Linked DNA regions of Ovis aries. The protein of the gene in region 1 purifies or fractionates together with the protein of each later gene. This does not show direct contact. Links are inferred from orthologs where the notes say so. Each region holds a gene or a part of one and is shown on either strand. Other genes may lie near its edges.

Region 1 (4,001 bases):
AGCCCTCTCCTTTCTCCATGACCCCCTTTGTGCTACTCTAAAGGAAGAACCCTGTGATAAGAGAAGGACCATGGGTCTGGGCCAAGAAACAGTTCTGTTGTTCTTGAGTGTGGGAAGGAGTGGGCTGAGTAGACCATGGGCATGCCTCCATACCATCTCAGCAAAGATGCAACCGAGGCTCCATATGTCCACTGCTGTGGAGTAGTATTTGCAGCCCAGAAGGATTTCCGGTGCTCGGTACCACAGAGTCACCACCTGAGGAAAAGAGTACAGGACATGAAGATATCCACACGTCAGTTTCTAAACACTATTCTGCTAACTCAATTTCTTCACAAGCAACTTCTATCCCTCCATCCTTCCCTTTACTCTCATTGCCCCTAAGTAAAATAACTGGGTACAACTTCTTAGCCCAGAGTTAGCCTAATCCATGGTTCTGGGGAACATATATTCTGAACCCTCAATTTGCAACCTTCTTGGAAAACTTGAGGCAAATGGTCATAATTTTAAATTTCATGCCTTCCACCTGTCTCCTGGCTCGGTATCTATCAATATATGAATTCTGTGCATACTCTAAGACCTCTTGTGGTGTCAGAAATACTTTCCATCTAGTGAGAAACTGCTGGCCAGATCGTTACTAAAAACTCTATGAATGTCCTTGTTAACACCTCCCAGGAAGTTCAGAGAAGACATGCAGAGGAGGACTCACCTCGTGGGTATAAGTACGAACAGGGACCCCAAAAGCTCTGGCTAGTCCGAAGTCTGCTAGCTTGATGGACCCATCTGCGTTGATAAGCAGATTCTGAGGTTTAAGGTCTCGGTGCAGGACCCGATGAGAGTGGCAGAAAGCTAGGCCCTGGAGCAGCTGGAACAAGTAGCTCTGACAAGGGGAAAGAAAAGACTCTGTTTTTCCACCACCGTGAGCAGATTAGGGTCTCCTCTGTAACTCCAAAGTTCTACTAAAGCCTTTACTAGTTAAATTGTAATTATGTTTTCAAGCTATTTCTCCAGTTGGACTGTCAACCCATTGAGGATAAGATCAGGTCTCATTCAGTTTTGCATTTATGTTCCATAGCGTGGACCAGCACATTGAAAGTGTTCAATAAATGTGTGTTGGATGTTTGTTGGTTGATCGAAAGTAGCTTCCGGAGTAAGGAACCCAGAAAAATGGACAACAGAGACTCACTGGCTATTTCTCCCACCAAACAGGTGGAAGGGCTTTCTGGAGGCATCTACCAAGTACCCCCCAGTCCCATTTATCCGAGTTTCATCTCAAGAACCTTCCACCTGAGCTGCTAAGTTGACTTACTAGAGTTTCAACTTCTTTGATTCCCCTGCCCAGCCCTAGGGTTAAAAGCATAATGAGCAGTGAAAGAGCCACAAGAAAAGGTGTGTGCGTGTGTGTGTGTAGGGGGGTGAGGGCTGGGAAGGAAACCAAGATAAATCAACACTCAGTCCGGATTGCCTGCTTTCAGTCCGGACTCCCAAAACATGCCCATGTTGGGGAGGAGTTGATGAGAAGGAGTACCTTTATGAGCGGAAGAGGAATGCCAGTGAGTGCAGAGGCATCCATGAATTTCTTGAGATCCTGGTGCAGAAACTCAAAAACAAGGTAGAGTTTGTTTTCTGTGTGAATGACATCCAGCAGCCTAGGGAAGGGGGAGGTCCAGGAATACACGTGAGGGAGAGAAAGGCCCAGACAATACAAACAGAAGACATTCTCCTTTACTGTCAGAGCACCTCCCACCTCCCAGATACATACTTACTTGACAATATTAGGGTGATTAAGCTCCTTAAGCAGAGAGATCTCTCGTATGGCAGTACTGGGTACACCCTCTGTCTCACTTGGAGAAGTTGAGAAAGCAGAGATGGGAATGTGGTTACAAATATTTCTTTTCCCTCAGCAGTACAGTCATTCCCCCCACCCCACCCACAGCCCCCACCAACCCAGCATCCCCTAATTAAGTGAGAGAAAGGGTGCTTCAGTGGTTAAATCATGGATGGACAGGAGTGTCTTTTTAGACCCATTAAGATCATCATATCTTCTTTGCCCAGGGCTGGGTTAGCAAAGCCTCTTGGTGAAGTTAAAAGGGGGAAAAGTGTGTGTGTGTGGAAGTAACAACACCCAGCCTCTCTAGAGGTGCCAGTAAGGTTCAACTGCCATTCTTTTGAAAGAGAGAATTCTAAGATGCGGGTGGGGTTGGGGCACTGAGGGCTGGTCTAGTCATTTATAAGGGTGCTCTTTACCACTTATCACAAAACCCATCTCCTCGTCGGGGAGTCCTGGATCCCATCTCAAAAGGCTCCTTCCTCTTCCTGACACTTTCTGACTGTACATTTGGGGACATCGCCCGCCTCTGGGGAGGAAATTTCCCATGGATTCTACACTATCCTATAGTCTCCACCGGGAAACCCTCTACTCGTCCTTCAACCCACCTCTCCACTTCAAAAGACTTCCCTCCCTGCTACCTTCCGGTCCCTGGAAGGCTACCCGCCTGTTGCGGTGGGGGTGGGGGGCACTCAAGGAGCTCCCGAGTCAGGACTCCCGGGTACAGAGGCCACTCACGTGTCCAGGCGGATTTTTTTAAGCGCCACCACTTCTCCCGTCAACTTGTTTTTGGCTTTGTACACAACTCCGTACGTGCCCTCTCCGATCTTTTCCACTTTTTGGAAGTTCTCCATGAAGCGCTAGCGAGTCGGGTCAGCCCGGCCCTGGAGCTGGGGCCTGGGAACCTGCAAAAAACGGCACCCAGCTCTCGGGGGCCGAGGAGGGAAACAGGGCCCAGCACCGCGACCCGAGGTCGGGATGGAACGTAGTGTATCTCTCGCTCTTGTCAATTTGTCCAACTTGAAACAATATTGCCGCCTCCCCCCTCTAGTTCCCTACCGCCACCAGAAGCCCCGCCTCTCCTTCCCGCGTTTCCCTGGCTCCTCCCTCAGATCTTCCTATTGGTCTACGTCAGAGAGGGCGGGGCCAGCCCTGTGTCCCTCGCTGCAAACGACCCCACCCCGAGTAACTTTGGTTCCGAGGAGTATTAAGGATAAATTTTTATCTGGATGGGGAGGCTGAACACCTTTTTCCAAGTATCTGATTTGGGATCGAGTTTTCTCTCTGTGTCCTGAGTCTATAGGGATTTCCTGATCTCTAATCACCGTTTTCACCACCCTAAGGAAAATATGTATTAAATTCCACCTCGCCCTGGAGCCTCCTCTGAAAGCAGGAAACTGGAAATCTCATTGTAAGGGTTTCCTAGGGCTCCGAAGAGTCGTTGTCCCACTTCTCTCAGCCTACCCCAATACTGTCTGTTTTTGGACCCAGGGTCGCTGCTTCTACAGTTATTTTGAGAGGTTCCTGGTTTGACTCACAATAGATTGATCCACTCTCCAATGATGAACCCTGTGCGTCCGGTACGTGTTATGTTTTGTAGCTGCCCTTCAGTCATTTTTTCCCCGCGAGGGGAGATGGAGTACTTTAAGATGAGACTGACCCTGTGAAGCCAGAAACTGTCAATGAGTAGCATGATGTCCAGGGACCAGGATCCCTCCTCTGTTCTGTCTCTCAGATCCTTCTGCTCCTCCCAGGATTTGCCTGGAGGGAGGGGAGGAAGGGCTATGCAAATAAGCACCCCCTTCTTATACAGGGGTTTGTCCAATGCCCCAGAGTCTTTGGTTGCTGGAAGGAAGAACAGGATGGATCTGGTGCTGAGAAAATACCTTCTCCATGTGGCTCTGATGGGTGTTCTTCTGGCTGTAGGGGCCACAGAAGGTGAGTGTGGGATGTGTGGACATGAACAAGTGTGAGTTTAGGGTTACACACCTGCTCTGGTTTTTCTCTCCCTAAAGTGGAAGATAGCAGCAGTGCTTCAGGTGTTTCTCATCCATTTGATTTAGTGAGGACATGGGCAACTGAGCTCCCTCCCCACATGAAGATTTGGGTGCATATGTGTTCAGGCACTTGGGACTGAACCTGAAAACAACCCCATCTACCTGGACGGGTGAGAGAA
Region 2 (4,011 bases), about 130 Mb from region 1:
ACGTCCATCAAGTCGGTGATGCCATCCAGCCATCTCATCCTCTGTCGTCACGTTCCCTTCCTGCCCCCAATCCCTCCCAGCATCAGAGTCTTTTCCAATGAGTCAACTCTTTGCATGAAGTGGCCAAAGTATTGGAGTTTCAGCTTTAGTGTCAGTCTTTCCAAAGAAACCCAGGACTGATCTCCTTTAGGATGGACTGGTTGGATCTCCTTGCAGTCCAAGGGACTCTCAAGAGTCTTTTCCAACACCACAGTTCAAAAGCATCAATTCTTCGGCGCTCAGCTTTCTTCACAGTCCAACTCTCACATCCATACATGACTCCTGGAAAAACCATAGCCTTGACTAGACCTTTGTTGGCAAAGTAATGTCTCTCCTTTTGAATATGCTATCTAGGTTGGTCATAAATTGCCTTCCAAGGAATAAGCATCTTTTAATTTCATGGCTGCAGTCACCATCTGCAGTGATTTTGGAGCCCCCCAAAATCAAGTCTGACAGTTTCCACTGTTTCCCCATCTATTTGCCATGAAGTGATGGGACCTGATGCCATGATCTTAGTTTTCTGAATGTTGAACTTTAAGCCAACTTTTTCACTCTCCTCTTTCACTTGCATCAAGAGGCTTTTTAGTTTCTCTTCACTTTCTGCCAGAAGAGTGGTGTCATCTGCATATCTGAGGTTATTGATATTTCTCCCGGCAATCTTGATTCCAGCCTGTTTCTTCCAGCCCAGCGTTTCTCATGATGTACTCTGCATAGAAGTTAAATAAGCAGGGTGACAATATACAGCCTTGCCGTACTCCTTTTCCTGTTTGGAACCAGTCTATTGTTCCATGTCCTGACCTGCATACAGGTTTCTCAAGAGGCAGGTCAGGTGGTCTGGTATTCCCATCTCTTTCAGAATTTTCCACAGTTTATGATGATCCACACAGTCAAAGGATTTGGCATAGTCAACAAAGCAGAAATAGATGTTTTTCTGGAACTTTCTTGCTTTTTCGATGATCCAGAGGATGTCGGCAATTTGATCTCTGGTTCCTCTGCCTTTTCTAAAACCAGCTTGAACATCTGGAAGTTCACGGTCAAGCAAGGAAAAGTAACGGTAAAAGGTCGGCAGGCGTCGCGCGCAGCCTCGGGCTAGCCCCGCCTCAAGGGGCGGGCTCCGGGCGCTGATTGGACTGCGTTGGCCTCGCTCGGGTTGGCGGGAGGTCTCGAGGCCCGCGGTGCCGCGGTGGAGCGAACTGCGAGTAACCGTCTGAAGCGTAGGGCGTCTGTGAAAGGCTGGCAGCCGGTCCGGCCCTCGCTCACCAGGCTCAGGTTTCCGCAGGTACCCGCCGCTCGCTCTCCGGCTTAGGGCTTCGCCGGCGACTGTACAGTTTAGGTTGTGCCTGGCTCCTCCGTCCCGTCTTTCCTCCAACCCCGCCGGCCTAAATGTGTGAGGCTATGGCGGCGGCGTCTCGACCCCTTCTTCACACTTCCGCCCTTGAGTTTCCTCAGGTGCCGGTGGGGAGGCGGAGGCGTAGCGGTAGGACTGCGCAGAGCTGGGAGGAGCGGGGTGGAGGACGACGGTGCAGTAGAGAGAGGAGGCAGGGCGCTCCCCTCGGCCGTGTTTGTTGGAGTTTGCCACACTTTGCCCACCAGCTCAGCTGGTTGTGCCCACTAGTCGGCGGGGGAGAGGACAACGGAGACGTGTCCCCAAGGGCTCGTGCCCTCTCCTCAGCGGGCGCTTCCCCCTTCGGAAAGGAAGGCCTTTAGGAAAGAGCTCGCGCCTCGCCGCAGCCCGCCGGTCTTTTTACAGCTGAGCGCGGGATAGCAGTGTTTTTAATTCATCCTGCCTCTTGTGTCCCATTAAACGCATCTTTTTTTTCCAGGAGCATCTGCATCAGAATCCTGAGACCTGAGTTGCTGTATCTCAGGGCTATGCCCTTAGCCCATTTATCAAAATTTACAAATGTCCTTTCCTAGCATTTCCAGTACGACTGTAGGACAGCTAGCTTCAATTAAAACAAAACAAAACTTTAGAAGTAATTGAGAGCCTGTCTCTTTACAAACTTTATTCTTTGTCGTAAGCACATTAAAATATACCTATGGTGCCTGTTACCAATAAAGTCTTAACATTTAAATTACGTTTATTAGTTGAGGTGAAATTTGGTTATCTGTCATATTGGGACTCTCCTCCAAAGACACTTTCTGTTAAAAAAAAAAAAATACAATAATAGTGCTGCCATAGGTTGAGTTTTTGCCAAACATTCAGCACTGTGCATTATTCATATGGTTCCTTTCCTCATTAACCCTCCAAAATATGTATTATAACAATACCTGATAATAGGTAACTTTAAATGAATACTTACTATGTACCGGCTTCTAAAAAAAATAAGTGCTTTTATTATCTCAATATCACAAGCGAGAAAAGGGAGACTCCCAGAAGTTAAATAACCTAAGATCATATCACTGGTGAGAATCAGGTCTTAATCCAGGTCTCTTGTCCAGTATTTTAACATTTATTCTCAGCCAGTTCTGTCCCTTTGCCTTCAGTCATACTTTAAAATCCTGTCATATATAGTATGGAGAGTCCTTTAAAAATTAGGAATAAACCACCATATGACCCAGCAATCTCTTTCCTAGACATATACCCTGAGGAAACCAAAATTGAAAAAGACACATGTACCCCAGTGTTCATTTACAATAGCTAGAACATGGAAGCAACCTAAATGTCCATTGACAGATGAATGGATAAAGAAGTTGTGGTACATATACATAAGGGAATATTACTCAGCCATAAAAGGACTACATTTGAGTCAGTTCTAATGAGGTGGATGAACCTAGAGCTTATTATAAAGAATGAAGTCAGTCAGAAAGAGAAAGATAAATATCGTATACTAATGCATATATGGAATCTAGAAAGTGGTACCAAATAATTTATTTGCAGGGCAGCAATGGAGAAGCAGACATAGAGAACAGACTTAGGGACATAGGGAGAGGAGAGGAGAGGGTGAGATGTATAGAGAGAGTATCATGAACTTATATTATCATATGTAAAATAGCCAAAGGGAATTTGCTGTATGTCTCAGGAAACTCAAACAGGGACCTAGAGGGGTGAGAGGGGTGGGACGGGGAGGGAGATGGGAGAGAGGTTCAAGAAGGAGGGGATATATGTATACCTATGGCTGATTCATGCTGAGGTTTGACACAAAATTCTATAAAGTAATTATCCTTCAATTAATTTTTAAAAAATTATAAAATCCTGTCTTAAAAAAAGTTCTCATTTGACTTGCCATTCTCTTAGTATGTCTAAATGAAGAGCAAAAATTGAAGTTACCTAAAGTTGGATTTTGAACAAAAATGTATCATTGATAGCTTCTCTCCTTAAGCTCCTTCTCCATAACTCTTTTGCCAGTGTTTTCTTATTAATCTCAACGAATTGCCTCCTGTTTCTCTTTTCTCAATTTTTATATGAGGCAGAATAATGTAAAATGTGATCATTATTTTTTTGATAGAAAATTTGCATTCTGTTTCATCATATATCCCAGGTTGTTTTAATAAAGCAACACTTTTTAAGTTACTTAACATTAAGTAAAAATGACATCCTGGGAGAAGTTCCACCATTATTCTATTTTCTGGCACATCTGTCTCCCACTCCCTAAGCCTAGCCCTCACACCCCAATGTGAGAAGCGTGACTAGTTTTTTTCCATCTAGATTGTAAAGCTGCTCTTTCTTTTGGGGGAAAGAAGATACAGATGAGGATCTAGGAGGAGAGAGGAGTGGAGAGGAGGGAAGCAAAGTAGAGGAGAAGGAATTATATATAAAAGTAATTGAATATAACTTAGTCTGCCTAGTTCTTCATAATCTAGCCCTGTGCTGTCTAATATATGGGTAGCTACTAGCCATATGTGCTTATTAAACAGTTGAAATGTGGCAGGTGCAACTGAAGAATTTTTACTTTACAATTAAATATTAAAGGAATATAAAATATTTTTCCCTTACCTCCTAGATCATTGTTTTGGCAAGACTACATTTCA

What was found. Proteins that work in one complex are often made in the same cells at the same time.
Region 2: the proteins of CDK2 (region 1) and SPDYA purify together in Homo sapiens (affinity purification with western blotting; 7 studies listed by BioGRID). This does not show direct contact. The link is inferred for Ovis aries from reciprocal best matches to the Homo sapiens genes CDK2 and SPDYA.

The regions. Positions count from the first base shown.
Region 1 is NC_056056.1:163,556,693-163,560,693, forward strand, and holds the start of CDK2 (cyclin-dependent kinase 2), read right to left. Parts: upstream 2,801-4,001; 5' UTR 2,680-2,800; coding exon 2,564-2,679; intron 1,842-2,563; coding exon 1,764-1,841; intron 1,647-1,763; coding exon 1,526-1,646; intron 878-1,525; coding exon 707-877; intron 256-706; coding exon 154-255; intron 1-153. Other genes in the region: melanocyte protein PMEL, read left to right, coding at 3,688-3,763. UniProt on the Homo sapiens protein: Serine/threonine-protein kinase involved in the control of the cell cycle; essential for meiosis, but dispensable for mitosis. Phosphorylates CABLES1, CTNNB1, CDK2AP2, ERCC6, NBN, USP37, p53/TP53, NPM1, CDK7, RB1, BRCA2, MYC, NPAT, EZH2.
Region 2 is NC_056056.1:35,729,575-35,733,585, forward strand, and holds the start of SPDYA (speedy protein A), read left to right. Parts: upstream 1-1,211; 5' UTR 1,212-4,011. UniProt on the Homo sapiens protein: Regulates the G1/S phase transition of the cell cycle by binding and activating CDK1 and CDK2.